Elephas maximus indicus: one gene and its partner. The protein of the gene in region 1 interacts with the protein of each later gene in a pairwise test. Links are inferred from orthologs where the notes say so. Each region holds a gene or a part of one and is shown on either strand. Other genes may lie near its edges.

The links.
Region 2: the proteins of CLK3 (region 1) and OAS2 interact in binary tests that used the Homo sapiens proteins (3 or more experiments, as listed by UniProt). The two-hybrid records come from large-scale screens. The link is inferred for Elephas maximus indicus from reciprocal best matches to the Homo sapiens genes CLK3 and OAS2.

The regions. Positions count from the first base shown.
Region 1 is NC_064831.1:64,683,347-64,698,785, forward strand, and holds the start of CLK3 (dual specificity protein kinase CLK3), read left to right. Parts: upstream 1-7,273; 5' UTR 7,274-7,361; exon of another isoform or gene 7,362-7,400; intron 7,401-7,683; exon of another isoform or gene 7,684-7,763; intron 7,764-10,733; coding exon 10,734-10,885; intron 10,886-11,583; coding exon 11,584-11,800; intron 11,801-13,631; coding exon 13,632-13,728; intron 13,729-14,003; coding exon 14,004-14,070; intron 14,071-15,439. Other genes in the region: ciliary rootlet coiled-coil protein 2, read right to left, coding at 267-422, 854-953, 1,024-1,127, 2,115-2,328, 2,402-2,519, 2,803-2,932. UniProt on the Homo sapiens protein: Dual specificity kinase acting on both serine/threonine and tyrosine-containing substrates. Phosphorylates serine- and arginine-rich (SR) proteins of the spliceosomal complex.
Region 2 is NC_064840.1:11,165,143-11,180,581, forward strand, and holds the start of OAS2 (2'-5'-oligoadenylate synthase 2), read left to right. Parts: upstream 1-7,810; 5' UTR 7,811-7,961; coding exon 7,962-8,138; intron 8,139-10,871; coding exon 10,872-11,145; intron 11,146-15,439. Other genes in the region: OAS3 (2'-5'-oligoadenylate synthase 3), read left to right, coding at 1-163, 1,047-1,194, 1,397-1,408.

The DNA of each region.
Region 1 (15,439 bases):
CACCACCAGAGGGTGCCATTTATGTGGACTGCAATGTGAAGGGTGCTCTCTGGAGTTGTGCTGTGTGGATACCCTGCTCAGATCTGTCCTCCCAGTCATTCTCTTTTCCAAAGTCTCCCTACAGCCTCTCATCCTGTCTTGGAATCTCCCAAGGGCAAGGCCCAGGTTCCTCTGCTTCTCTGCCCCCGGTACAGGTGGGAACAGCCTGGCTCAGCTGGGACTTGGGGCGTTCTGCAGGTTGAACCTTGACAATGGCCTTGACCCACCTGGGTGAACATCACCAGCCACTCCTGCAGGAGAGTTATGTCCTGGGGCTGCGCAGGGGCTTTGGCCGCCCCCATCGAGACTCCACCTAGGCCCTGAAGGGCCTGGGCCCTGGCCTCGCTCTGCTCCTGCGCCTGCTGGCCTGGCACCAGCATCTCCTGCAGACAAACTCAGTCCAGGATCCTGGGGTCTCCTCCCAGCCTCCAGACCACTCTGGGGTGTTCTTGACAGACCCTTTGTGCCTCAAGGGGCATGTTGTGGCAGGGGCCAGCAGCCCCTGGGGCCTGGTTCCAACTTGCGCTATGACCCTGAGCAAGCTCTTCCCCACCCTCTGGCCTCAGTTTTCCCATCTGTAACAGGAGGGGGGTGGGCTGGATGATCCCAGGGCCTTTCCAAACATTGGGTGGGACTTGATCCCTCTCTGGGCTGCACAGAAGCCCCCTATGCCACCCACCCCCCTCTCTCAGCTACTGCTCCAAGAATGAAGACCAGGGAATGAAGCATACATAGGGCAGGGCGGAAGGTGTGGCAGGGCCATGTTCAGGGCCTGCCCACACCCACTTGGAGGGGGGCTCTGTGTCATCCCTACCGCAGGAGCTTCCAGGCTGGGCTCTGGGCCAAGGGGCTGCTGGCTCATCTGGTCCAAACGCTGCTGGGCCTTTTCCACTTCCATTTGCAGTAGCAGGATCCTGGGGGCAGAGGGGGCTGTCTGCCCATCCTCTACCACTCTGCGCCTCCCCCATCTCCCAACCCCCTCACTTGTCTTCTATGTCCAAGTGTGGCTTCCTCCAGTCCTCCTGCCCCTGGGTTCCTCGCAGCTGGTGTCTCTCCTGCTCTAGGCGGGCCAGGAAGCATTCTGCCTGCTGGGGGAGGGCTGCAGGCAGCACCAAGCCCCTGGGGAGGGCTGGGCCAGTCCCCCCACCCCACCAGGCAAGGAGTGTCTGCGGCCTCTGATAAAGCAGGCAGAACCTACAGCCTCTGCCTGCTCCACCAGCTGAGATAAGCCCAGTCAGGGGTCCAGCTGACAGCCCAGGGGAGACCTGCACTCCATGGCTCGGAGAGCTACCCAGCTGTTATCACTATAGCTTCCAGATGTGCAGCCCTCTGCCTTCATCTGGGCCTGAGATGCATCACCTCTTGACCCCACCTGCTGATAGCTTCAGAGCTTAGGCCTGCAGAAGGACCAGGGACACTGTCATGTAATGCTAGAGAGGCATGAGAAGACAGTCAACTGGGTCCTGAGGGTCACCCCAGGCCTGGTAAGGAGCAGTGGTTCCACGAGGGTCGACTGTGGGCTAAGACATCTGAGTCATTAAAAGCTTGGGCTTCTAGGCCGTCAGGGGGCAGTCCAGTCCTTACCTCCACATGGGGCAGGGATGCTGGTAGCCTCCCCAAGAAGCCTCAGCTTGCAGAGCTCTCTCTCCTTCTGGGGATCACCTTTTCCACCAGGGGAGGCTGGACTTCTAAGGATGCTGTTCTGTCCACCGAGCTAAAACCAGACCCTCCCTACTCTCCCTCCATGGGCCACAAGCCCTCCCTTTGCCTCTAGCAGCATTCCCGGCCCTGCCCTGCATACCCCTCACAGGAAAGCGCTGCCCGTCTCCAGGCAGCGGCGCCAGGCACGGATACAACACTGTTCAACACAGCAACCCCGTTGGCACCTCTACTTCCCTCTCTCTCCTCTGGATGCTCCAGACCCTGACAGACCTTCCTGAGAACGCGGCACTGGTGAACACCAGCCCTGAGCGTTCTGGAGCTTTCAGGCTGGTAAGAGGACCTGGCTAGCCCAAGGGGCCTCCCTGGGGCCTCGGACAACAAGGAAGGTGGGAGGAAGAGGCTGGGAGCCTCACCTTCTGCTTCAGAGTCAGCAGCTCACACAGGGCCCGGCCTCGGTCCAGCTGGCATTCCCGCCTCTGCAGCACCCGGGCCTGCTCTGACAGGGCCTCCAGCGCTGCCCGCAGACGGCCGGCCAGCCCTGCCCGCTGCCACCTGCTCTCCGCAAGCCACACCCGCAGGTCCTTCTCTGACTGCCACTGGTCCCTCTCAGGGGCTCTGTCTGGGCACCTGCCAGGGAGAGAGGAGTCAGACTGCCAGCAGGGTACCAGAGGGCTGCCGTGCCTGCCATCCCCAGGCTCACCTGCACCCCTCGGTGGGGCTCCGTGGGCAGTCTTGGTCCAGTGGCCAGAGGTTACAGGAGTGCCGGGGACAGCATGTGGGGCCAGACATGAGATCCATGGGCTCTGCCTCAGTGGGCCCTGAGTACAGAACAGACTGGAGTCTAAAGCTGGAGCAGTCCCTTCCTCCTAGAACACCCACCTTTGAGCCCCCTCCTCAGATGCAGAAACTGAGTCCCTGGGGTGAGCATGCACTCAGCCCCACCCCCTTGGCCCAGGGTTCTCTCTGGTTATTCCAGTTTCAGATAAACCCCAGCCTCGGCACCACTAAACAGTTCTCAGTTCTAACAGTTCCCGTGTGCTGTGGGTGCTGACCGCCAGCCAGGCCACCTACTGAATAAACACCACCTCATTTCACACTCACGGGTACCCGGCTGGGGGCTGTGCCGCTGAAGCTCAGAGGGGGCATTCAGTTGCCCCTGGTCACTGCAGGGCAGGGAAGAACGGCCCAGTAAGCAAGGTAGGCACAGGATTACTTCTTCTTGCTTACTCATCTGTAGAGCACAATTTCACCTGTTCCTTACCGTGTTAAAGATGTTCTGAGACCCATATGAAACTGTGCACTACAGATGATAAGTAAACACAATTAAGCCCGTGCCTACCTTGCTTGCTGGTTAATCCGCCCCTGCTGCAGGGAGTCCCTGCAGAATGGGGATTCCCACCCAGCGCTGTCAGGCACTAGAGCGCACACTCACCCACCCTGCTGCCCTGCAGCGCTCCCCTTCCAGGTGTGTGAGTCTGGTGGGCAGTGGTTAGGAAACAGTAGGGGCCAGGGGAACATTTCAGGGCCAGCACAATTTAGCTAAAGGAGCCCTGGTGGCACAACGGTTAAGTGCTTGGCTGCTAAGAAAAAGGTATGGGGTTTGAACCCACCCAGCAGCTCTGCAGGAGAAAGACCTGGCGATCTGCTCCCGTAAAGATTCCAGCCTATGATTGCTCTGACAGAGATCACAATAGAGGGTCGCGGACAGAGCAGGAGAAAAAAAAGTAGAACAAAATTCAAATTCACAGAAAAAGACCAGGCTTATGAGTCTGACAGAGACTGGAGGAGCCCCTGACACTATGCCCTCCGGATACCCTGGTAACTCAGAATTGAAGCCACTCGTGAAGTCCACCTTTCAGGCAACGATTAGACAGGCCTTTAAAACAAATAATAACACAGGAGAGGAACGTGCTGTTTTAGTTCAATCAAGTATTCAAGACCAAATGGGCAACACCTACTCAAATGCAAAGACAAGAAGGCAGGAAGGGACAGGAAAACTGGAGGAATGGACATGGAGAACCCTGGGTGGAAAGGGAAAGGGGGACAGTGCTGACACATTGCAGGGGTTGCGACCAATATCACAAAACGGTTTGTGTATAAATTTTTGAGTGAAAAGCTAACTTGCACTGTAAACTTTCACCTAAAATACAATAAAATTAAAAAAAAAGATTACCCACCCACTGCCATCGCAGCCTAGAAAACCCAACGGGGCAGTTCTACTCTGTCACGTGGGGTAGCTATGAGTAGAAGTCAACTCAATGGCACCTAACGACAACAACAACATAGTTTAGCTGTGATGTGGGGGTCAGAAGCCCCCAAACTCCTTGCTCTGATACCTCTTCAGTTTCCATAACTGCAGCTGTAACACAGGGGCCCTGACACCCATTCCCCACCAGCTTGTGGTAACTCATGAGGCAGACAAGGACTACTCGGTGGGTATTATCCCCTCACACTCCTCCTATCCCCACTCTTCTTACCTCCAGGGCCTCAGAGTCCTACCACTGTCTCCTTCCTCCCAAGCCTGAGCGCCAGGTACCCAGGCCCAGGCTCCGTGATGGCATGGAGGGTGTGTGGCCCAGTCCTGGAAGGCTGTCTCCACCTGAGGAGAAAGAAGAACTAGGCTGAACCTCCCCTCCCCTCGCCCTGATGTGCCCATTCCTCATATACCCAGACCTGCTCCCACCTCAGGATGGCACTGCCATCCACCAGGCCCTCTCGCCTCTAGACACCTTGACTACTCTCCCCTCCCTCCAGGCCCAGGTCCCTGCAGCCCAGGAAATGGGAACCTGACTCTCCTAGGGGCTCCCAGGAAGGTTTTCCAGGGGAGGTAACCCTGGGGCTGAGGCTTGAAGGTGAATTAACTACCCCTAGAGAAGAGAAAAATGGATGTGGCAGACAGAGGAGAGAGCATGAGCAGCAGGACAAGAGGGGGATCAGAACAGCTGGGGCCTGGAGGGGCAGTAAGCTGAGTCTGCGTTGAGGGTGGCCAAGTGAAAAACCAAGAGGGGCAAGGCTGGCCCTAAAGAGGAACTGTGGGGCCAAGTGGCTAGGAGCCGGGCACAGGGCGGAGGCAAGACCTCGGTGCTCTTGAGTCATGCTTTGGACCTCAACAGAAAGGACCTGGTGCGGGCAGGGGCGGGCGACTGGGAAAAGAGCTTGGGTCTTCAGGGCAGGGCTGTGGAGCAAACCTCTGGAGTTGGTCCACCCCCTGAGCTCCCGGGCCAGGGGTTACCAGGGACTTATTGCCAGGCAGCACGGGAGTATGAGAGTGGTGCAAGGGCAGTTCCACATACATCACATCAGGGTAGATCTTTTTCCAAGTGCCTATTTGGTGCCCTGGTGGCACAGTGGTTAAAATGATGGACTGCTAACCGAAAGATCAGTGGTTAGAAACCACCAGCAGCTCCACGGGAGAAAGTTGTGGCAGTCTGCTTCCTTAGAGATTTACAGCCTCGGAAGCCCTGTGGGGTGGCTGTGAATCGGAATCCGCTCAGTTGCAGTGGGTTGGTTGGTAGGTTATTTGATACCCTGTTTCACATTCTGCTCAGGTGTGAGTTCTTTTAGGAAGAAAGAGACAAAAGAAAGAAGACTTACTGGTAGAATCTCAAGCCCAATGGCTGCCTGACTCCAGATTTTGGAGAGTTAAGGAGCTGGGAGATGGCTCCTATTTCTCTTCAGAAAAAGAGAGAGCTGCTTCCTCACTGGGAGGTAGGGACTCCTGGTTTCCTGGGGGTAGAGGGCTTGGGGGAAGATGGGCCTAACTTACCTCCTCAGAGCCTGGTGCCCAGAGCAGAGCTGGGGACAGGAGCCTCTCTGAGGGCCTTGGCGCCTCTCAGCTGCCCGCCACAATCCTGGCTCCAAGGAGCCATGGAAACCGCGGGCAACACTAGGTGGTGGGAGGAGGAGCCACCAGAGCCCTCCCACCTCGTATGAGTGGATGAAACCCCTAGGAAGAAACCTGGTTGGTGTGTCCACGGCCTAGACCAACGAAGCATTGAAGCATTTGGAGCCCGGGCATAGGGGTGGGTAGGGGTTGTGGCACCTCAGGTGCCTGCCATTTTTTAACCCCCTGGCCCCTGAGGCAAGATCCTGAGGGGGCGAGATCTGAGGGCGGCAATAGCCAGGTTCTGGGTCACCCACTGCACACTTGAAGTGGCTCTAGAATTTCTATATTGGGGGCAGCATTTGATTGGCAGGAGGACTCGGGCATGGTCTTGAGGGGGCATTAGCGTAGCAAGCACCCAAGTTTTAGGTAGCTTCTGTGTTTATTTTGGGTGGGAGTGGTGGAGGAAACCGAGATTTGGGGGATGTAAGCATCCCTCAAGCCACGTCGTAAGACTCCAGTTTAAGGGGGCGCCAGAAGCGAAGTACTATAGGGGGAATGGTCGCCTCTGACCAGGCAGCCGGGGCTTGGAGACCGCGCCCCCAAGTCAGGGGCGTGGCCAGTTCTCATTGGGGAGGGGGCGGGAACTGGGCGGGGCCGGGGAAGAGAGGCAGGCGGGCGGCCCGCCTCCGCCCTGCCCCGTGAGGTGTTGGAGAAACCCAGGCCGCCCATTGGTGGATGGCAAGAGCTGGCTGTCCAGGGGAGGGGGCGGTGCCTGGGGAGATGCCCAGCCCCGCTCACTCCGGCCGGGAGAGGCTGCGGGTTTCCAGCGCTCGCTTGGCTTGGGGGCAATTAGGGGCCGCTCCCGCTCGTTTAGCTGCGCGACGCCCGGGAGAGCCCGGGGGCGGGGACGCCACTCCCGGATCGGGCGGGGCGTGCGCGCCACAAAATGTGAGGTCTCCCAAAGGGCCCCGGACCTCAGTTTCCTCATTTGGGAAATGAGGCTTCGTAATCCCGCTCTAGACAGATAGGAGGGAGGCGTTATGGTGATGCCATGCTCGGGGGCCCTGCATGGCGCGAGGCTTTTGTTTGGCTGGGGCTTACTGAGAAACAATGCTGGCCGCACTAAGACGCTCTAAAGGTACTCAAGGGGGAAGAAGACCCCCTGCCACCTGACCCCGACCCCTCCAAGATGCCCCACCATTGTGGCTCTCGGGTATATTCCCAAAAACTGTTTTGGATAAACACACAAACACACATTTCATTTGCTTTTTTCACACAACCGTTGTCACCACCGCCTTCGTGAGCCTCTGGGCCCAGGTCTCCGCCGTCTTTAGTTCCCTCTTGGGCCCCGTGGCCAGGTGGACCGCAGTAACCCCCGTTTTCACTGTCGTAACAGGGAAACAACGACCGTCCCCTCCGCGCACAGAAAAGGGGTTGGCGGACACGGGCGAAGCTCCGCCTTTCGGCTCCGAGCACCCCCGCCGGGCATGGAGAGGCTCGGGGACCAGGCACCTGTCAGGTCTGGAGGGTTTACGTGCGTCGAGACACGACAGGGGGCGGGGCGAGCCGCCGCCGCCGCCGGAGCCACCCCTCGGCCCTCCCGGAGCTAGTCTCGACTACTCTGCGGCACCGACCGGAGCGTGGAAGGCCAGTCCCCCAGAGCCTTCGAGTCAGGGGCTAGAGCGTCCCGGCCACCGAGCCGAGCCGACCCGGGGCTGGCGACGCCTGCGTCACCCGGGGGGCGGGGACGCCACGGGCGGAGGCCGGAGCCGGAAGCGGAAGAGGTGCTCGGAGCGGGGAGTGGGGCCTAGCCGCAGCCGGAGCCTGGGAGACGGTGAGTGTGGGCCTCGGCCCGCGACGACGGCTGCGGGAGGTGAGTCGGGCGGGGCGGCCTCGCCGGGTGCGGGTTTCGGGTGTCCCGGTTTGGGCTCGGTCCGCGCCCTTTCTCTTCCTTTACCAACCTCAGGCCGCAGCCCCGACCCCTCACCCCTGACCCGCTGCTTGTCGCCCCGAGGGCGAGCACGGCGGACCTCGAGCTCTCGATCCCGTGGTGTCGGAGTGGGAGCCAGAGCAGCCTCTGAGGCCCCCTCTGTCAGCCCCTGCAGGGACCCAGTTTCGGCACTGCGCCTGCCCGAGGAATGGGGTCGGGGTCCGACCTGGGATAGCCTGGAGACTCCTTCAGACTCCTTGGCTCGAGCCTTGGTCCGTAGGTCCCTCCTCCCCGCGTGGCCTGGAGTTGGATTCTGGCTCACACCGACCTGCCCCCACCACCTGGGTCCCTCCTCCGCCATTGACGGTGGTTCGGGGGGCACGGGGCTCCTAGATACCCAAGACCTGGGGCGCCCGAAGGGACCCGAGCGAAGGCCGCAGGCGCCTGTGTGTGTTTTGTTGTGATGATGGAGCCGCTCCAGCCCCGGGGGAGGGGCCCGGCCAAGCTGACAGCCCAAATGCCCGGCTGCTCCTCAGCCCGGTAGCCTCTGTGCTTTTAGTTCCGGGTGCGAGTGCCCTGGTGTGGAGCCGGTGTGGGAATTGCCCGAGCCAGGCCCCGGTCGAGGCGGAGTTGGCGGGCTTCCAGCTTCCCTCCTCCGTGCCCTTGAAAAGGAGGAGCGTTTCACCCCGTTGTGGCGGCTTGCGAGGTGGCAAGCTTGAGGTTGCAGTGGCGGGGCAGTGCCAGCCAAAAATAACCGTGGGGCGCTGGGGTGGCAGGGCTCCGGGAGGGCAGTCGCTGACCCGGCTGGCTGCACTTCTTGTCAGCCCAGTTCTCTGGCCAGGAACAGCAAATGAGAAGCCGACTAGGCCTGTGCTCCGAGGAGAAGAGCTGGCATCCTCGGCCTGGTTTCCTTCACATTACCTTTTTTTTTTTCCCATTGTGTAGAGCAGAGCCTCCTAAAGCATGATCGTGACCTTAGCTTCCTAAAATAACCTGTTTGCTGGGGTCTCAGTGGATCTGAGGCAATGGATGAGAAATGGGCTCTTGTGCTGTTGGTGGGAGGCTGAGGAGGGGGTCTGGTAGGTCCAGTAGCTCACCTGCCTAAAATGCGGTAAAGGAGAGATGATTTCTCCTATTAGTCTTGCCTTGCGTGTAGTACTTTATAGCTCTCATGCTTGTCATCTCCTTTGCCAAGTTGGCTGGGAGGTAGTGTTATCTCTACTTTCCAGGTATGGTAGCCGAGGCCTAGAGTGACTTGTATAAATTCACGAGGACAGTAAGTGACAGCACTGAGAATTAGGTCAGGGTTTTCTGCCCAGAACTGTCTTCCCCCAGGTTCCCAGGAAGGGACTTATAAAGTGTTCTTAGTGCTCTTAAGGCATTTAACAGAGGTCCAAGTTGTTACCCGGAATGTTTTTCATTTTGTTAATGAAAAGTTGCCTGTAGTACCACTTGTGGGCCCAGGCCTATGCTAGGCAGTTGGTTTAGAGGAGACACATTAAATCCTCACAAACACTTGTAAGAGATTGTTATCCTGTTATTGCAAGAGGAAGCTGAAGGATAGAGCAGTTGAGTAACTCGCCCAAAGGCACACAGCTAGAAGTGGCAGTGCCAGGCTTCAGACTGACATCTGTCTGCCTCTGAAGCCTGGGCTCTTTCCACTAACATGAAGTGTGTGGACATGTGTATCTTCCAGGTCCTGGGAGGGAGGCTTTGGCCTGGTGTGGACTAGACCAAGTCCTCCTGATGCTTTGTCTCCTAAGCAAGGAGGGCCCATGCCAGGCCACTGGAGCTTTCATTCCACAGCTTGGGCACCTGCCCCAGGGTAATGGCAGGAAAACAGTGAAACATTAGTCACCTAATCAACAAAACAGAACAGCAATCCAGGTCTTAGGGATCTGTCAGTGATTTTCTGTATGTTTATCTCCAAGGATTGCTGAGGGCTGGGCCAGTACCACTTCCTGGACTTCCCAGATAGAGAGGGGACATCAGCTACTGGGGAAATGGAGGGCAGTGACTTTGTCAGGATCACCGAGGAGCTCCCAGGAGTTTGGTCAGATTGGCCTCTTTGCCCTGCTTACCCCAGGGGGAGCCATTCCATGCTGCTCTCCTCTTGACAGACCTTTCTGCCTTGATGGTGCAGCCTCAGTGGGTTTGTCCGAAATGTGCTGGTCAGGTGAGCCCAGGACTGACCATGACCAGAGGCTGGCTGTGGCCAAGTGAAGGATTGGCCTAGCCTTCCCATGGAGGCAGCATCAGGGTTTTGGATGTAGGTGGAAATGGGGGCTGGCCTCACATAGCCACTTTTCTCAGCTGGTACTGGTCCAGCCTGGCGATTTCCCGTGGCGGATATAAGTCTTTGCTTAACAGGGAGAGTGGGGTGGGGCCCTTTGGCCTGCCTGCCTGTGCAGGCAGCCAACCCCTCTGCTCTTCCTGAGATGGGAACAGGAGCCAGTACTGGAGCAGGGGAAAGAGAAAAGGGGACAGCAAAGGTGATGTTGGAGAGAGGTGAGGCACTGCCCAGCATGGCACTGCAGGTGGTCTGAAGGGTGCTAAGTGGGCCTCTGGCAAGAAACTTGGGTGCTCGGAGGACCCTGGCATCCCAAGGGATACTGAGACCAAGTGATGACCAGTAAGGGCTGGTCAGACTCTGGGGTAAGCTGGGGAATATTTGTGAGACCCTGTATGCCTCTTTTTCCGAGGGCTTGTCCTCTCATCTGTGGCTCCTCACATTGACTTGCGATCCTTACTCCCTTGAGTAGGGTCCACTTCAGGGCCTCAGCCAGGAGACTTTAGGCTGAAGGTGTTTCCCCGCTTGCGCCCATGTTGTTGGCTTCATGCCAACAGCCCTTTGACTCTGGCCTCTGGCTTTACAGCATGGTCACTTCATAGGACCACCCAGTAAGTAGGGGACTAAGCCCAGTAGGCTCCTCTTTCTCCCTGGCCTTGGTGACCATACTCACCATTCCCTCCTGCCTTCCTGCCTCAGCACCTGGTCCCAGCTCACCCATTTCCCCAAGTGCTCAGGCCACTAGGCCAGTGATGCTCTGCTGGGGAGGCAGCTATTAGTTCGCTGGCAGAGAGGGTGTTACCCATTGTCTGTTGTTCGGCCAGTATGACCTCAGAGTTCTTCTTCACTTCATAAAACCCTGGGAGGGGCTGCCCCCAAACAGAATAATGGGCCTCCTCTTTAGGCACGTCTGGGCTGCCCCGGCAGCCCTGTGGCTGGAGGTGGCTGGCTGCATGTTGAGTAGGGCACTTTCTCTCGTGGCCTAGATGCATCACTGTAAGCGATACCGCTCCCCTGAGCCAGACCCGTACCTGAGCTACCGATGGAAGAGGAGGAGGTCTTACAGTCGGGAGCACGAAGGGAGACTGCGCTACCTGTCCCGAAGGGAGCCTCCGCCTCGCAGGTCTCGGTCCAGAAGGTGAGAGGGAACTGGGTAGGCAGGAAGGACTCCTGCCCTTGGCTGGGCTAGTGAGATGGTTTTGGGGCTTGGGGCAGTCTCACATCTCCTCGAAATGGCTGCCATCTCTGCCTGCTGCTCCTAGGACCCACCCTGTCCTCTTGGGGGACCTCCCCAAATCTCACCTGCATTCCCTGGCCTTTGCGTTAGCTGCAAGCCTTGCCTCCCCTTCATCCTCTGTCCCTGAGTGCCCCTTCCTCTTCTTCCTTCTCCCAGAACATTCCCCATTTTTCCAGGATGGCAGTGCAGGTCTGTGGCTCCTCCTCTACTAACCTCCTGAGCCTTCCTCGGTGGGGATTGGGGGGACCCCAGCCCTTTCTAGCGGTTGGTCCCTGGTCGTATCTTAGCCTCAGGCCAAGGTTAAAGTCTCCAGAAGGCCACAGGGAGCCTGAGTGTCTGAGCCCTCAGAGGCCCTCCACCTGCTCCCCTTCCCCACTGCTCTGCCTCCTGGGGCACTGGAGGGGTGCCTATCTTTAGCCAAGGTTCTGGAGGACAGGTGGGCTCAGCACCTTCACACCTTCCCTCCCTTGCTCTCTTCCCGCCAGTCTGGGTGTCTGTGAGCTCTTTGAGGGTCTACACAGGCTTCTTGCCTGGTAGCAGGGACCTGGCTGGTGGGAGGAAGGACCCTGCTGACCAGTCTCCCCCACCCTTCTTGGCAGCCATGACCGCCTGCCCTACCAGAGGAGATACCGGGAGCGCCGAGACAGCGACACGTACCGTTGTGAAGAGCGGAGCCCATCCTTTGGCGAGGACTGCTACGGATCATCACGTTCACACCATCGTCGGCGGTCACGGGAGAGGGAGCCATATCGAACCCGCAAGCACGCCCACCACTGCCACAAACGCCGCACCAGGTCTTGTAGCAGCGCCTCCTCGGTGAGTGGTGGCCAGAGTGTGCTGGCTGGGCCTTCCAGGCCTCATCTCTTTCTAGCCTTCTCTCAGGCTGGTTGGTCGTGGTGAGTACTGCCAGCTGGGCACACACACTGGTGTGCGTGCATGTGTGTGTGTATGTGTTGTCTGGTCCAGGTACAGAGCTGAGCTGGGTGGCCCGGCCCCTCTGCCTTCTTGCCCCCTTGGCAACGGCAACTATAGGGGCCCTGATTCCGGCGCTGGCTGGCTCCCAGCTTTTCTGTGTCTCCAGGCTGCTCCAGACACCAACCGCATGGCACCGGTGGCCAGGGAGCCTTCTTGGGGAGCCTTCTTGGGGATCCAGTAGGGTTGCCGCTATGTGGTCTATATGGTCTGGTCCTTCCCTCCCAGAGGTTGCCCCAGTAGCTGAGAGCTTTGACTGGTGTGGCCGGCACCCACCTTCCAGTCCCATCTCCACACACCCTCCCCCGAGGCTGGAGAGGATTTGCCCGTCAGCCCGGTGCAGATTGGGAGCTTTCCTGCTGACTTCCAGCCAGGCCTTCTGCAGTCTCGCCTCTTCATGTGAGGGGCAGTCCAGGCGAGGGGTGGGAGCTGTCTGTGTGCTGGGGTATGTGAAGAATGGCAGAAAGCCTTCAGCCCCAGGCAGCCCCAAAGGCAGAGCCTGGCCGGTGTTCCTGGTGTGGAGGATCGTGTAGACCCTACACTGCACCCAGGCCCCCAGGAAAGAAAAGCCAGTTGTGTATCTCTGAGGCTATGTGCTGCCTTCTCTTCTCCTCCCGCCCCCCTCCCCACCCTCCTGCCGGCCATGAGGCCCCTGAGGGGTAGGGGCAGGGTCAGTGGAGGGGTCCAGCTTCTTCTCTGCCCAGTTCTCCCTGTGACTTCTCTGAGCGGCCATGGCAAGTTGAGGGGAGACTGGGTGAGCCCAGCACGGCCTGGTGGCCTCTTGGCACACTGTCACAGGATGGCAGTGCAGGTCAGTGGCTCCACTGCTTCTCTTTTTGGTGCCCTCTGTCGTTGTGAGGCTTGGGATGGGCCTGGCCTGTGGGCGGCACGGTGCCAAGGCCAGGGCAGGAGCTGGCTTGGGGCCTGTGTGGCCGTGGTGGAAGGAGGCCTGCAGGCCGACTGGCCCAGAGGACCGGCCCCTTCCCTGCTCGAGGCTGGTGGCAGGAGGGCTGCTGGCAGGCCGTTTCTGGTAGTGGTGCTCAAGTCTGGCCAAGGATGCCGTCTGGGGACAGGTAGCAGTTTGGCTCTGAATGGCAGCTATCGGGCATGTGCAAGGCCGTGTGGACAGTAAGCAGGCAAGGACAGGCTGGGCATTTCGCAGGAAAACCGAGATGGCCCTCTCACCAGTCCGACGGTCAGACCCAGGCAGGGCTGGCTGCCTTCTTGCGCCGTTCTCTCTGCGTCTTCAGCTCTGGCCGAAGCCACCACGAAGCCCCCACGGGAGGGCCTGGGAGGGGGAGACTCGCTGGAGGAGGGCGTCAGGGATGTGGCTCTCTTCATGGCCTGGCCCCTCAGCCGCAGAGGCTGGTCGTCTTTCCGAGCGTTTGCGGCGCCCCTCCTTGTAGATAATGTCCGAGTTTTCTTTACATACCTGTAGCTGTTTTTACTTTTCTGTTTTTGAAGTCAGTTTGTGTCTTGACGTGTCCCTTGCAATATCCCTATCGTTATATATGCTGTGTGCCTTATGAAATGCTGGCATCTGGAAAATCCAACCAACCAACCCACCGGCTCCTCACCGTCTCCACCTCTGCCTTTGACTGACACCTCAATCTGTCAATCGGAACCGCCTACCATGCGATTGGTCGGATGGCGTTTCGGGGGGCGGTGCATGCAGAGAAGCCAACAGAGCAGTAAGCGCAGCAGCCGGAGTGTGGAAGATGACAAGGAGGGCCACCTGGTGTGCCGGATCGGCGATTGGCTCCAAGAGCGATGTACAGCCACCTTTCGTAAAACTTTACCTCTCTACTTTCTACCCCCCTTGTTAGACGAGACCTCTCCTGCCTGGAGGGGCCTCTAGTGCGCGTGGCGCCTTAGCGGGGCCACCAGTAATTGCCTGAATGACACAGACACTAGCAACTTCTGTTTTTAAGAGTGTGGCAGTGAGAGAAGCCTTTTTTGTTTTTGAGAATTTGAATGCTGTGAACTTACAGGAGCTGCCGGCCCTTTGCCTTGCAGACCCTCACGCCCTGTTTCTTCTTTCTCCTAGATGAGATCGTGGGGAACCTGGGCGAAGGTACCTTTGGCAAGGTGGTGGAGTGCTTGGACCATGCCAGGTGAGGGCACCGGGGCAGCCCCAACCAGCTCTGGAGGTGACTGCCTGGGAAGAGCCTGTTTGGGAGGCTTGTGGGTTGTGGTTATCTGAGCCTTTTTCTTTCTGAAGGGTAGCACCAAAGCAGGGTCTGACCTGTACATGTTGGTGTTCTGCGGACCCCCTGAGAAATTCTTGGGGGTCTGCAGGCATGCCCAAGAATTGCTGGGCAGTGACTAGTTCTGCCCTGATTTCCCCTTCCCAGGGCTGTGGTGGTGGTTCTCAGGGCAGGGCCATGTGGCCTGGCACCTGCTCCCTGGGATCTCTTGGAAGGTCTTGGCCTGGCAGGGGACTGGGAGTGCTACTACCCTACCCTACCCTGGGCATCTGCCTGAGGGGCCGTGCCAGGTCCCTGTTGGGAGAAACAAGACTGGGATGTTCTCCCAAGTAGGCAGCTGCCTGCTGCAGTGTGGCAAGGGTGAAGTGGGGTCTTCACCGAGCATGCTCAAAGAGAGCTGTGCTATCCCGTGTGTGTTGAGGGCACACTCTCTGTTCCATGCTTAAGAGCAAAACACTTTCCTCAAGATAGGAGCTTCCTGCCTTGCTGCCTTCCTCCCCTAGCTCTGGGCAGGGGAGCACTGTGTGTAGAGTAGGGGCATTGCCTCCGTGCCTTCCTGGCCCTCTGATTGGTTTGGCACTTCAGCTACAAGCTTATGTGTTCTTTATCTCATTGACCCACTCGCTGTCCGTGGGTGACCTTCCCACGATCTTAGAGGTGAAGAAGCACGTTCAGGGTTTGCCACCTTTCCCACAGCTAGTGAGTAGTGGAGGCGAACTCGCAGTTCCACAGTGCATCCACAGTAGGGGTGCTCAGAACGGACCGTTAGACCCAGGAGCCCAGCCATCCCTGTGGCCCCAAGATGAGGTAGTGGCAGTGACTGAGGAACCTGCCCTTTGCTCCCAGTCCCATTTAAACATCCCTCAGGCCCAGTATGGCTCAGGAGGGCCGGACTGGGACCAGTGAGTGTAGGGACTACACCGTGCCCAGAGCACGTGACCACATAGACATGTGGCAGCACCAAGAGCTGTGACTCGTGAGGGCAGCTAAGCTCTCCATACTGTGCCACTCTAAAGAGCTGGAGGGGAAAATAAGCCTCAGAAGCCACCAAGGGGCAGCGCAGGGGTAGGGAACCTTTGGGACCCAAAGGGAGAGTCAGGAGCAGTGGGGATTATTGTGAGGAAGCAGAGTGCCACTCAGCCAAAGCAAGGGCCTTATCCTCCGACTCACCTAGCCCTGGCAGGGGCTCCCTTTGGAAGTGATGAGCTCCCTGACCTAAGGACTGACATGCCACAGAGGAATTCTGTTCCAGGTGGAGCCTGGAGTGAGTGGCCTT
Region 2 (15,439 bases), on another chromosome or scaffold:
AGCAGGGCAGTCAGGAGCCTCAGTTCAACATGGCTGAGGGCTTCCGCACCGTCCTGGAGCTGGTCAGCCAGTACCGCCAGCTCTGCATCTACTGGACTGTCAACTACGATGCTGAGGACAAGACCATTGGAGACTTCCTGAAACGGCAGCTGCAGAAGCCCAGGTTCAGACTCACCCCAGTGTCCCAGAGTCCCAGGCCCGGGGTCACTCCCTGTCTTCCCAGCACAGGCAGGAGCGTCTTGTGTCTAGAATTCAGTTCCTTTCTAGACATGATATCCTTAGCACCTGAGGACAGGTGGCCAGCTACCTAAAGAAAAAACCTGTGAATAGGACTGCCAGATAAAATACAAGACGCCAAGTGAAATTTGAATTTCAGATAAGCAATGAATCATTTTTAGTATAAGTATGGCCCATGCAATACCTGGGATATACTTATGCTAAAAAAAATTTATTCATTGTCTATTCGAAACTAAAATTCAACTGGGCATCCTGTATTTGTAGTTGTTAAATCTGCAAACCCTACCTGTGAACCTAACAGGTAACATAAGCATGTCTTACTCTTTGGGATTTCGCCTACCTCTCAAATGGGTACAGACCCAGCACAGAGGCCTTCGCAAGCTCACAGTGCCTCTCTAGTTGGGGGGTAGTAGTAACTAATGTGGTGAGAAGGACTCTGAGATTGTGATTTGGCTCAGCTGGGAAGAGTAACCTAGTCAGGTAGTGACATTTGCCATAGATGCAGGAAGGGAAAGTGGTGGAGACAGTGCTCTGATTGATTAATAATGCCTGCTTTACATGCAGTAAGTGGCGGCATGAGCCCTGTGATTGATTAGTGATGTCTGCCCTGGATACAGAAAGAAGTGACCCGTGTGTAGTTTCTTTTGTATACTTGCCCTCAGGTGTGTGCCTGGAGCGTGGAGGAGGCTCTGAGCCCTGCCCCTGGCCCCTGCAGAGTGTTAGGTGAGGGAGGAGCATGGTCCAACCAATCCCACAGGTGGATACCAGATGTTGCAGGGAATAAGACTGACCTTGGATGGAAATTACAGGCCCATCATCCTGGATCCAGCTGACCCAACGGGCAACCTGGGCCACAATGCCCGCTGGGACCTGTTGGCCAAGGAAGCTGCAACTTGTGTGTCTGCCCTGTGCTGCATGGGCAAGGACGGCACCCCCGTCCAGCCCTGGCCAGTGGAGGTGAGCCGCCTGCAAAAAGGAAGAACATACCTTTTGTGGGAGGGAGGGGGCAGTGTGGGCAGGGGAGAGTCTGGCTCCACACAAAGGGACGGGGCCAATCATGGCTCCACTGTGCCCTGTGCCTCCACTTCCTGTCTATCCATGTGGTCCCAGCTTCTCCAGGAAGGTTAGGGGTAACCGACATCTGTACTCCCCCCACCAGGCTGCTGTGTGAAGCCCAGGAAACCAGTGGTCGTACTGGATGGACGGATGGACACCAGCCCTCCATGTGGGGAGACTGAGGATTGCCTGCCAGATGAGCCTCTGTGTGTGTGTGTGTGTGCGCGCGCATACGCGTGCATGCGTGTGGAGGTATATGTGCATATGTGTATGCGTGTGCATGCATAAGTGTGCATGGGTGGGTGTAGGCACGGGTGTGCATGTGGGTGTGTGTGTGGGCACATGCGTGTGCATAAGTGGGGTTGTGCATGTGTGGGTGGGTGTGTGTTTCAGCAAATCCTCTCTCCTCCCCAGTCCAGCCCTCCAGCTGACCTCCCTGCCTTCCAGCTCTCCCCTTTCATGTAGCTGGATTGACCTTCATTAAATACCACCAAGTAGCCAGTGGGCAGTCCCCAGCTTACACACACCCTTGCCTCCCACGGCCTGAACACTGGAGTCCAGACTACATGGTTGAGTACCAGCCTGAGTTTTCAGCTTCTCCACTGCCCCCATGACCCAACACCATGTATCCTCAGGCCAACCTCCACGCCCGCTAGGGATGCAGGAGGGTGGGAAGAGCCTTCCCCTCACAACCAGCACTCTTGGAGGGAGAAGAGCAACAAAGAGCCGTTCTTCTGCCTACACCTGGAGCCTGTTCTCACCCCTCTTTGGCTCTAGCCTATGAGACTGGGCTGAGGGGTCGGCATGCAGGACCCTCTTAGAACCAGGGCTGTGTTTACAGCTCCCATGCCTGTGCCCTCTGCTCTTGGTGCTGAACCAATGCTGAGGGCACTGTGGGTGTGATGAAGTCTTCTTAAACTCATTTTGCTAACTGTTTGGCCAGAAGCTCTCAGGACACCCAAATTACACCTCTAAGGTTGGTGCTGGCTGTTGACACACACGTTTCCAAGAACTTGGGACAGCAGAGACCTGACCTGCCAAGTCACCCAGCAGAGAGGGGCCTGGCTTGTGCATCATGAGCCTTGGTTCTCCTCCTGGGTGGACAAGGTGTCTGGTTCCAGCTCTCTGCCTTCCAACTCCATTACGTGGACTCTGTTATGGATTGAATTGTGTCTCCAGAAAATGTGTGTCAACTTGACTAGGCCATGATTCCCAGTATTGTGTGATTGTCTGCCATTTTGTCATCTGACGTGATTTTCCTATGTGTTGTAAATTCTACCTCTATGATGTTAATGAGACAGGACTCAGTCTACAAGATGAGGTTGTATTTTGAGTCAATCTCTTTGAGATATGAAAGAGAGAAGCAAGCAGAGAGACAGGGGACCTCATTACTACCAAGCAAGAAGAGCCAGGAACACTGACCTAGGGTCCTGAGCTGAGAAGCTCTTAGACCAAGGAAAGATTGATGACAAGAACCTTCTGCCGGAACCAACAGAGAAAGCCTTCCCCTAGAGCTGGTGCCCTGAATCTGGACTTCTAGCCTCCTAAATTGTGAGATAATAAACTTCTGTTTGTTAAAGCGATCCCCTTGTGGTATTTCTGTTACAGCAGCACTAGATAACTAAGACAATACACACATGAGTATTTCTCTGGAGCCAGACAAGGCAGTACTAACATTCTTATAGAAGAATACACATGCAAGAATACCTAAGAAAATGAAAAAAGAAGAGCTCTCAGGGGAGACTAGCTCTACCAGATATTAAAACATACTATAAAGCCTCTATGATTTAAACAGCATGGTACCGGAACATAAACAGGCCAGTGGAATTGGACAACTATTACTAACACTCTGGAAGAAAGTAACAAAAAGTGTAATCAATCAGCAATTGAAAGCTAAGTGTGATAACTGTTACCAAACACAGTAAAAGGGAAGTTATACATATTCATTGGATTTCTAGGAAATAACGCATTTTCAAAAAAGGGGTTGGGACAGTCTTTTGGCAAGAAGTGGCTGATGGACCTCTCGCTTCTGAAATGGGTCTGAATACTACAGATGATGGAAATCTGGTGATTTTAGTTCCTTGGCGTGAGTCTTTTGGTTCCTAGGCAGGACTCACTATGGAACGGGGACATCCAGCCATCAACCGAATCATTTCTTTGCCTGCTCAGGATTCTGGTTTTAGTTGGTTTGCCTGAAAAGTAATCCTAAAAGGAAGTGTTAGGGGAAATCTGGTTACTTATCATTTAGAATTTAGCCTCAGGTTGAGATACTGGTTTCCTCGAGTCAGGCCTAGCCGTATCTTGTTTGCTTTGGAATATTTTTTTACAGCCTCTGTTGACAAGAGCAGCGGAAACCCTGGTGGCATAGTGGTTAAGTGCTGTGGCTGCTAACCAAGAGGTCGGCAGTTCGAATCCGCCAGACGCTCCTTGGAAACTCTATCGGGCAGTCCTTCTCTGTCCTATAGGGTCACTATGAGTCAGAACCAACTCGACGGCAGTGGATTTTGGTTGACAAGAGGGTTAATTTTACCTCAGGACTCCATACTTGTCTCAAAACCAGCAGGCCTCCTTGGTAACATATGAAGAAGCCCTCATCTGCAGCCAGGAGACAAAAGTGAAGACCAAGTCTAGGATTTTAAAGAAAACTTTTAATTAAAAAAAATTTTTTTTTACTGATACGACTTTTTTCTTGAGATATAATTCACATACCATAAAATTCACCATTTCCAAGGGCATAATCCAGTGGTTTTTAGTATATTCACAAGGTTCAATAATAACACCCATACAATCTATGGAGAGAAAGATATGGCCAATGTGGTCAAGTGTTCCGGGTGAAGGATATTAGGGAGTTTATTTGCACTTTTTCTCAACATTTCAAGTTCTTTCAAAATAAAATGTTTAAAAAATAATAATGAAGGATGGGTTTTGGAATCAGGCATCATGAAGGGAGAACCTAGCTTGTTAGCAGCTTGCTACCTGTGTGACAGGCAAATCTCTCAATGTCCCAGAGCCTCCATATTTTCCTCCGGAAAGTGGCCTTCTGCCCCCAGCCCAGTCTACCTGTCAATATTGCAGTAAAAGGTAAGCTAATGAGCAGGGCAGGGCCCTTTGCCTACCACACTCAGGGATTTTTACCTGCCACTGGGAACCCTGGTGGTGTAGTGTTTAAGAGCTGCAGCTGCTAACCAAAAGGTCGGCAGTTAGAATCCACCAGTGCTCCTCGGAAACTCTATGGGGCAGTTCTACTCTGTCCTATAGGGTTGCTATGAATCAGAATTAATGGCAAAGGTTTTTTTTATATTACATACTAATTACATACTATAGAGGAGCCCTGGTGGCATAGTGGTTAAGCACTCTGCAGTTAACCAAAAGGTCAGCAGTTCGAACCCACCAGCCATTCTGCAGGAGAAAGATGTGGCAGTCTGCTTCTACAAAGATTTACAGCCTATGTGGGGACCATGGTCTCAGGGAACATCTAGCTCAGTTGGCATAATACAATTTATAAAGAAAATGTTCTACATTCTACTTCGGTGAGTAGTGTCTGGGGCCTTAAAAGCTTGTGAGTGGCCATCTAAGATACTCCACTAATCTCACCCTGTCGAGCAAGGGAGAATGAAGAAAACCAAAGGCACAAGAGAAAGATTAGTCTGAAGGACTAATGGACCACAACTCTGTCTCCGTCTCAATGCTGTTTGCCTCCTTTCTGTGTGTGTGTGTGTGTGTGTGTGTGTGTGTGTGTGTGTGTACGTTTCAAGGATTGGACCCAACGTTCATCAGATTACCCAAGACATCCATGACTCCAGAAAGGTTTTATTTTTTGAACAATTCCTGCATGTACAATTCAGTGACATTGATGACATTCTTCAAATTGTGCAACCATTCTTATGATCCCAAATGGGTTTTGAACTCCTAGGTTAAGAGGTTATCCCTTTTCAAGGGCCAGTGGTGCTCGTATTCACCAGGATATGTATAAGATTGTACATGGCAACACTGCTACTAATAAACCAAAAATTGAAGTAATCAAAATACCCATCAAGAAGCTCTGGTGGCAGTGGCTAAAGTGCCTGGCTGCTAACCGAAAGGTCAGCAGTTCGAATCCACCAGCTGCTACCACAGAAGAAAGATGTGGCAGTCTGCTTTCATAACGATTACAGCTTGGAAACCCTATGTGGCAGTTCTACTCTAGCCTATGGGGCCTCTGTGAGTTGGAACCGACTCAACAGTAATGGGCTTGGAAACCCTATGTGGCAGTTCTACTCTATCCTATAGGGCCTCTATGAGTTGGAATCAACAGTAACAGGCTTGGGTTTTTTTGTTTTTTTTTAAGTATCCATCTATAGTGGAACAGGTAAATCCATTCTGGCAAATTCATAAGGTGGAATACTATACTGCAGTGAAAAGCAATGAACTACAGCCTCATGCAAAAATGTATATGAATCTCTCAAGCATAACAGTATGTGAAAGAAGCAAGACACAAAACCATCATAATGATTCCTATTGCTGCCTCATGTTATACCTGATGAACCCGGCTGAACCATGAACCATGGTATATCTCACCCTTTTAAACTGTTGAGGGCCAAACTCTTTAAACCATTCTGCTATGAGTAGTGTTGGAAAGATCCACAAGATCTGGGGTCTTAAAAGCTTGTGAGCAGCCATCTAAGATACTCCACTGGTCCCAGCTCGTCTGGAGCAAGGGAAAATGAAGAAGGGGGCCGGAGCACCTGTGTGCCCAGTCCTTCTTGCACGCGTGTGTGTATATGTACATAATGTATACACATGTATATACATGCACACACAGACAGAGCCTCATCTGTACTTGCCCCACCCAGCAATAGGGAAAAACAGAAGTTTCCAAGGGAAACAGAAACCACTTTGGCCGCCAGAAACGAAACTCACAGAGGGCCCCTAGGGGCTGCCTCTGTCCAGCATAAAAAGTTAACACCAAACCAAACCAAACCCACGGCCATTCAGTGGATTTCAGCTCATAGCGATGCTACAGGACAGGGTAGACCTGCCCCATAGGGTTTCCTGGGCTGTAAATCTTTTTTTTATAAATCATAGCCTCCACCAGACTGAGTCCAGCATGACTAGATGGGGCCTGACTACCACCAGTGACTGCTCTGACAGGGATCACAATAGAGGGTCCCAGATAGAGCTGGAGAAAAATGTAGAATAAAACTCTAACTCATAAAAAAAAAAAGACCAGACTTAACTGGCCTGACAGAGACTGGAGAAACCCCAAGAGTATGGCCCCCAGACACCCTTTTAGCTCAGTAATGAAGTCACTCCTGAGGATCACCCTTCATTCAAAGATTAGACAGGCCCATAAAACGGGACAAAAGGAGCACACCAGCCCAGGAGCAAGGAGTAGAAGGCAGCAGGGGACAGGAAAACAGGTAATAGGGAACCCAAGTTCAAGGAAGGACATGTCGTGGGGTTGGTAACCAGTGTTACAAAGTAATATGTGTACTAATTGTTTAATGAGAAGCTAGTTTGTGAACTTTCATCTACAATACAATAACAAGAAAGAAAGAAAAAATGATGGGAAAGCAATAAAAATTGTAATTTCTAAGTAAAAAAAAAAAAAGATTTACAGACCAGGAAACCCTATGGGGCAGGTCTACCCTGTCCTGTAGCGTCGCTATGAGCTGAAATCCACTGAATGGCGGTGGGTTTGGTTTGGTTTGGTGTTAACTTTTTATGCTGGACAGAGGCAGCCCCTAGGAGCCCTCTGTGAGTTTCGTTTCTGGCGGCCAAATTGGTTTCTGTTTCCCTTGGAAACTTCTGTTTTCCCCTATTGCTGGGTGGGGCAAGTACAGGTGAGGCTCTGTCTGTGTGTGCATGTGTATACATGTGTATACATTATGTACATATACACACATGCGTGCAAGAAGGACTGGGCACACAGGTGCTCCAGCCCCCTGACCCACTCTAGGACCTGTGTTTGCCAAGTGGCCGGCCTGAGCCCTGAGTCTGGCCTGGTGCCTACTTACTGTGTGTCCCTGGGCAATTCAGGCGCCACTCTGGATCTCTTTCTCCTCTCTGCTCTCACTGAGTCTGAGTTCCCAGGCCACTGGAATCAGGGAGGAAGAGAAAGAGCTTCAAAGAAACACCTCTGTCAGGGCAGTTGGTGGCAGTAGCCAAGCACCATCTAGTTGTGCTGGGCTCAGTCTGGTGGAGGCTGTGGCAGTATGTAAAATTTTATTTACTTACAAACACTTGTATGGCATTTATCATGTGCCAGCTCCTGCTAAACACTCTCTAGGTATTATTTAATCCTCATATTAACCCTACAAGAGGTACCACTGTCATCCCTATTCAACTGCAATCGAGGCACAAAGACGGCAGGTGATTTGTTTAAGGGCACAAGTCTAGCAAGTAGCAGGCACTCACAATTGGGCTCTGGAGACTATGTGCTGAACAGCCAGGGGGCAGGGGGGCGGAGCAGAGCCTCTGGGCAGGGGCAGCCCCACCGCCACCACCGGAAAAGCTCTCTGAGTTTCAGTTTCCTGGCTCCAGGGCTCGGGAGCTTACTCCTTCTCTGCCTCCTGCACTGCTCTTCACTCCGGCACCGCACCGGCACCAGTAGTAGCCAGCAGGGAGCCCCAGCAGCCAGCAGGGAGCCCCAGCAGCCAGCAGGGAGCCCCAGCAGCCGGCAGGGAGCTATGGGAAGCTGGTGGTCACAACAGAACTCCATTCCTGCTGAGAACCTGGAAATGTATATCCAGCTCTTTCTACAGCCCCAGGGAGACTGTCAGAAGCTGATCGACCATGCCGTGAACACCATCTGCGCAGTCTTGCAGGATGCCAAAGACTTCCCCCTGGTAAAGGATGTGGCCAAAGTGAGTCCAGGGCTAGGGTCAGGGTTTCGGGGAGCCAGGAGAGTCCACGGTCCCAGGGTCACATGCTAAGTACCTACTCTGCCCCAGGTTCTGGGCTAGACGTCGTTTTGTCTTCCCCACACCGGGGTGAGACGGAGGAGTATGCTGTAGTGGTTAGGAGCCAGCTCTGCCCCTTACCAGGTGTGTGACCCTGGGCAGGTATCTCTTATAGGGTTCACCTTCACCTCTCTGTGCCTCAGTTTTCAAATCTATAAAACGGGGAGAGGAATAATACCCACCTCAGAGTGTTGTGAGGCTTAGGAATATAAAGTTCTTGGCACAGAGCCCAGCACATAGTTACCAAAAAAACCCACGTGGTAGCGTAGCACATAGTTAAAAAAAATTAGCACTCAACAAATAAGCTGGGATTACTCGCTATTATTATTTCTATTTTCTATTATTATTTTTACCCTTATTATAGAGGGATAGACTGAGGCTCGAGGACCTCGGTAAAATCACACGAGGTTGCTCTGTGGTTTCACAACAGTGGGGGAGTGGGTAGAGGGAGGCTCCCTTCAGCTGGAAATGTTCGATGTTGTGGGAGGCAGGGGCGATGGGAAGGTGCCAGGTCACTAGGGCAGGAGGAGGGCTCTGAGGGTCCCCTCCATCACCATTCTCTTTAGCCCTGGCCTGCCACTTCTCTGCTGTTATGCGCTTCTCGGCTCCTCCCTCTGTTGTTGTTGGTGATGGTTGCTGTCGAGTTGGCAACTCACGACAGCCTTATGTATAATAGAACAAAACATTGCCTGGTCCTGCGCCATCTTCATAATCATTGCTATGTTTCAGTTCATTGTTTCAGCCCTTGTGTCCATCCATCTCATTGAGCATTTCCTTCATTTCCATTGGCCCTCTACTTTACCAAACACGATGCCCTTTTCCAGCAATTGGTCTTTCCTGACGACATGCCCAAAGTAAGCAAACCAAAGTCTCGCCATCCTCTAGGGAACGTTCTGATTGTATTTTGTCTAAGGCTGATCTGCTCATTCTTCTGGCAGTCCACAATATAGTCGATATTCTTCACCAACACCACAGTTCAAACGCATCAATTCTTGTCCAGTCTTTCTTTTTCACTATCCAACATTCACACACATATGAGACAATTGAAGAGACCACGGCTTGGGTCACGTGCATCGTAGTCATCAAAGTGACATCTTCACTTTTAAAAATTTTAAAGAGTTCTTTTGCAGCAGATTTGCCCAATGCAATACGTTGTTTGATTTTTTTGATTGGTGCTTCCATGGATGTTGATTGTTGATCCACCTTTACACACCCACTAAGCTCAACAGAAAAGAAACCTGGACACCTGGTGTCACCTGGTGCTACCTAGCCCAGGTGAGGAAACAGAGACACAGAGAAGTTAAGTGAGTGCAGTTACGTAACAGCTGGGGTCAGAGCTGGGGTTTAAATCCAGGCAATCTGCTGAGAGCCTCCATGCTGAGCCACTCTGCTATCCTGCCTCTCAAAATTAACATTTAAAAAAAAGTAAAATATGCAAAAAGAAAAGGGCAGAGATCTAAGTGCATAGCTTAACAGGCTTTCACAAACAGCATACCTGTGTAACCCACATCCAGATTGAGAAACAAAACACCCAGCCCCCCAGGATCTTCGGACACCCTCTAGCCAGTCTCTACCTCTACTCCAGGGCAACCTACTCCTAGGACTTCTAACAGAACAGCCGGGTTTGCCTGTTTTTTGAACTTGGTGTAAATGTAGGGTGGTTTGCCCATTGCTAAAACTGTGTCATGGATTGAATAGTTTACCCCCAAAATGTGTCAACTTGGCTAGGCCATGATTCCCAGTATTATGTGGTTGTCCGCCATTCTGTGATCTGATGTGATTTTCCTACATGTTGTAAATCTTAATCCCTGCCTGTGGTTAATGAGGCAAGATTGGGTTATGTTAAAGAGGCTTAGGGTGGAATTCACAGCCCTGCTCCTGTGTAAGGGGAGTTACCCTGGGTTGTGGCCTGCATCACCTTTTACCTTACAAGAGATAAAAGGAAAGAGAAGCAAGGAGAGAGATAGGAACTTCCTACCACCAAGAAAAGAGAGCCGGGAGTGGAGCGTGTCCTTTGCACCCTGGGCTCCTGTGCTGAGAAGCTCCTAGACTCAGGGGAAGATTGATGACAAAGACTTTCCCCCAGAGCTGACAGAAAAATCCTTCCCCTAGATCTGGTTCCCTGAATTCAGACTTCTAGCCTCCTAGACTGTGAGAGAGGGCTAAGCCCCTCCCTCCCCTTTTGGTATTTCTGTTATAGCAGCACTAGATAACTAAGACAAACTGGGAATGTTTCTGGCAAACCAGGACTGACTGGCCACCCTACGTAAATGGCATCGGGCACTTTGTGCACTTGGTATGTGGTTTCCTTGACCCACAGGGGTTCTGAGGTTCATGTTGCTGTGTGCAGTTGTTGTTTATCACTGTCATTGTTGTATAGTATTCTGCTTTGTGAATCTACCACATCTGACCATTCTATTGTTAATGGAATTTGAGTTGACCCCAGTTTTTGGCCAGTATGAAAAATGCTGCTGTGAACAGCCTGACTCAGGCCTCATGGTGAACAAACAAATGTCTGCTTCACAGCTTTAAGACCATGGTGACTTTTTTGGCTTTTGCTCGCTGTTGAGAAATACCACTGTCTGCTGGATGCCCAGTGGGTCTAGAACTTCACATCCGCTTCCCTGTCGCCGGCAGGGTGGCTCCTATGGCCGGGAAACTGTCCTCAGAGGCACATCCGATGGTACTCTCGTCATCTACCTCAGTGAATTCAAACAATTTTTGGATCAGAAGACAAGCGAACGTGAAATAATCCTCAAAGAAATCTGGAAGCGCCTAGAAGCCTCACAGCACTTAAAGGAAATGGCAGCCAAGTTGGAGGTCCAGCAGTCCCAAGGCCAGCTCATACTCTGGCTGTCCACAAAGGGGCAAAGCATCATCTTTGAGGTACTGCCTGCCTTCAACGCCCTGGGTGAGTATTCCTGGGTCAGTGTGCAGGGCGGGTCTGCGGGGGCATGTTGGAGGATCAAAGCCAAAAAATGGGGTGTCAGACAGCAACGTGGGTCCTCTAGGCTAAGGATGGGATGTCTAGGCCAGCTAGCATCACTAATGCTTTCCAAAATGGCAGGCTATACTCTGGGCCTCCTCTCTTCTCTGGAACTTCTTCCCCCATCTCCTAGTTGATTTTGGAGCAAATGTTCTAGACTTTATTGTCTAGAGCAGGGGTTCTCAAACTGTAACGTGTGCATAAATCACCTGTGAACCTTGCTGAAATGCAGATTCTGATTCAGGAGATTTGAGGCGAGGCCCCAGGATTCTGTATTTCTAATCATATCTGGGATGAATTATGGTTTTGGCAAAGAATATTGAATATACCATGGACTGCCAGAGGAGCAAACAAACCTGTCTTGGTAGCGGTACAGCCAGAATGCTTCCTGGAATCAGGGAGGGCTAGGCTTTGTCTCATATGCTTCGGATGTGTTATCAGGAGGGGCCAGTCCCTAGAGAAGGACATCATGCTTGGTAAAGTAAAGGGCCAACAAAAGAGCTGAAGACCCTCAAAGAGATGGATTGACACAGTGGCTGTAACAATGGGCTCAAATACAGCAACGGTTGTGAGGATGGTGCAGGACTGGGCAGTGTTTCATTCTGTTGTACACAGAATCGCTATGAGTCAGAGCCAACTTGACAGCACCTAACAACAACAACTGGGATGATGCTGAGGCTACTGGTCTGCAGACCACACTTTGAGGGTTTAGACTACAAAAAAAAAAATTTTTTTTTTTTTTTTTTTTTAGACTACAGTCAGTGTTAATTAGAGGAGGAGGATGGGGCAAGCACCTGGAAAAGTCCAGCTGGGATAGGCATTTGGAATCTGCCTTCCTACAAGGTCAACATCAAGGCAACGACCTTCCATGGACAATTGTCTACCAGGGCTTGAGGGGCACCTCAAACATAAGCCATATCTCCCCAAGACTTGTCTACTTCCTGTGTCCCATGTCAGCAAATGTCCCCACAGTTCTGCCTGTTGCCCAAGCCCAGTTTACATCTCTGACTCCCTCACTCCTCACCCACAGCCCACCACTAAGCCTTGCCAGTTCTGCCTAACTAGTCCCTATATCCACTGCTACTTCCCTAGTCGAGGCCACCATCTGGGCTAGCCTGGATATGGCAATGGCCTCCTAATCACTTCCCTGCCTTCTGTCTCACTCCCTACAGCAGCCAGGTGTCACCCTTTCTACATTAAACCCTCTTCTGGCTTTTCTTTGCACTTAGGATCAGGGCCAAGCTCCTCAGCAGGACTGACAAAACTTTAATGATCTAGTGGTCCCGCTTACTTACCTCTTCAGCCCTACTAACTACCACCAGCTCACTCTCTGCCCCAGCCACTCTGAACTTCATTAAGTTCCTCAAGCCCCCATGCTCACTCAACTTGAGATTTGGTCCATGCTGTTCTTTGCCAAGAACATTTTTCCCCTGGCCCTTTATTTTCTGATCGCTCCAAATTTAACTTCCCTGGATCCCCAAGTCTGGGTTAGATCCACCTTCTATGTGCTCCAAAGCAACTTATGCTTTCTCTATCATGGAATTTATCACCAATATTGAAATGATTTGTTTAGTTTTCCCCTCTGCTAGACTATAAGCTCTGAAAGAACAGGTACCATGATGGTCTTGTTATTTTCCTGTCTGTGGTACAATGTTCATGCTGAATAATAGTGAATGGATGAATGGATGGATGAGTGAATAGATGATTGGATGGAGGGATGGATGGATGGATATTTGGATGGGTGTTTAGGTGGCTAGACAGATGATTGATTGGAGGGATAGATGGATAAGATTCAGTATAGTTATAGCTTAGTCTCAATCACAGGTACACATATAATCACAGACTTAAAGAATGCCAGAGCTGGGATCCAGTCCCTCATTAGACAAATGGTGAAACCAAAGGAAAGAAAAGTGCCAGGCCACACAGCTGGTTACCGACAGAACTAGGATAAAAGCCCAGGCTTTCTATGCTCCAAGCCAGGGTGCCTTCCATCCTCCATAATTTCATGGTGTTTCCAGGTTACACAAAATCTTGAAGAACAATTAATCCAATGATCAACTGATAAAGTGGAGACAACCACACCCAACCCCCTGATGACTCACGTTCACAAAAAAGAAGCCTGGTGCAGAGCCAAGTGCGTCCATTTGGGAGGAGGCAGTGCTGTGTTCTTATCCTGGCCTACTATTTACTCACTTTTGCCAACTGCAAGATCAGGCTAGAAACACCTAACTTGCAAGGCTGTTGAGACGCTAAGGTTGTCAGCAAATACCTGTCTCAAATAATGAAAAAAGGGGTATTCCAAATTAATAAGGGAAGGATGCTTTCTTTAAACAAGGATGTTGGTCAATTCGCTCTCATCTGGAAGAAAATCACATTTATTATCACATACAATATATTTCTGCCCTTGACTCCATCCAGTGAATGTTTTATTTCAGAGTCTAGGGTACCGGGACTTTGAGGAGGCAGACAAGGTGAAGGCAGGGTCATGGAGGTCAGGTTCAGAGCTGTGGATGGACCCAGGCCAGAGCGCCGTCTGCTTTCACCTCATCGTGCAAGGACAGCGTGAGAGCCAGAAATAAGCTCTTCTTTCCAGGTAGTGGAAACCTTGGTGGTGTAGTGGTTAAGAGCTGTGGCTACTAACCAAAAGGTCAGCAGTTCAAATCCACCAGGCGCTCCTTGGAAACTCTATGGGGCAGTTCTACTCTGTCCTATAGGGTCACTATGAGTCTGAATAGACTCGAAGGCAATGTTTTTTTTTTTTTTTTTTCCAGGTAGTATTCCAGAAGCCACCACCAGGTAGTGATAAAGCAGTACATTCCCTGTTCTAGAAGGAAAAAATAATGATTGCTTTTGGAGAAAAGTGACCTACAGGGACATTTATAAATTGCTTTCTTTACCAAATATTAGCTAACAAATCTGACCTGGAATCCCTGGGTAGTGGAAACTGTTAACACACTCAGCTGCTAACGTAAAGGTTGGAGGTTCGAGCCCACCCAGAGGTGCCTCACAACAAAGGCCTGGCTATCTACTTCTGAAAAACCAGCCATTGAAAACTCTATGGAGCACAGTTCTACACTGACAAACATGGAGTCATGGAGTCGCCATGAATTGGAATCAACTCCACACAACTGGTTTTTTAACCTCACATAATTTTTTTTTTTTTTTAATTTTTGCACTAGGTCCAGTCAGGCTTCCTTCAATTCTATGCCTCTTTCCATAGCTCCATGCCCCCCATCTTTCCATATCTCTCGCATCAACCTCCCACCCAATCCCCAACCCCCACTTTTGCCCCAGGGCCTTTGACCCAAAGTAGAACACTTACTTACTTCCTTGTGTTTCAGTTTCCTCCTATGACAATCACACTGACCACTTAAGAGTTTTATGAAACCCTTGTAGAGTTCATAGTACATAAAGGGCTGAAACTGTGCCTGGCCTAACAGTAAGCGCTCAATAAATGTTAGCTTTATTATTTTTTTTTTTATCATTATTGAAGACAGAAGGCTCTTTCCCTCAACCTCCCTGCATGCCAAGTGTGCAGAACCATGCCTGGCACAGAGTAGGGGGTCAGTTTCATGTTTGCTTCAAGCCTGGGATATTGACATCTCCCTCACTGCATTTGTTTGTTTCTTGACCCCACACCAGTGGTTCTCAAACTTCAATGGTTTTCAGAATCACCCGGGGAACTTAGTTAAAAAAAAAAAAATACAGAAGCCAGGCTGTCTCCCAACTGTGTATCAGAACCCCCCACCCTCACCCCACCGTGTACGAATCTGAAGCATACAGGCCCAGAATTATGGTCGTGGGAAGATCCTGGGCATCTGTGTTCCAGATGAGCTCCGCAGGGGGTTCCAACGTGCACCCCAGTTTGAGAACCACTGTCATGCACCACCCTACCTCACAGGGTTTAGCCCTGAGACAACTCAGCTGTCCCATTGGCCTCGGTTCCCAGACTTCTAAGGCCCTGGCTTCCTTTTCCTGCCTCCTCCAAGAACCTGTACCCTACCAAAAACCAAACCAAACCCACTGCTGTCAAGTCAATTCCTACTCATAGTGACCCTATAGGACAGACTAGAACTACCTCATAGGGCTTCCAAGACCGTAAATCTTTACGGAAGCAGACTGCCACATCTTTCTCCCGCAGAGCAGCTGCTAAGTTCAAATTGTGAAGCTTTTTGGTCAGCAGCGGAGCTCTTTAATCGTTGTACCACCAGGGCTCCTT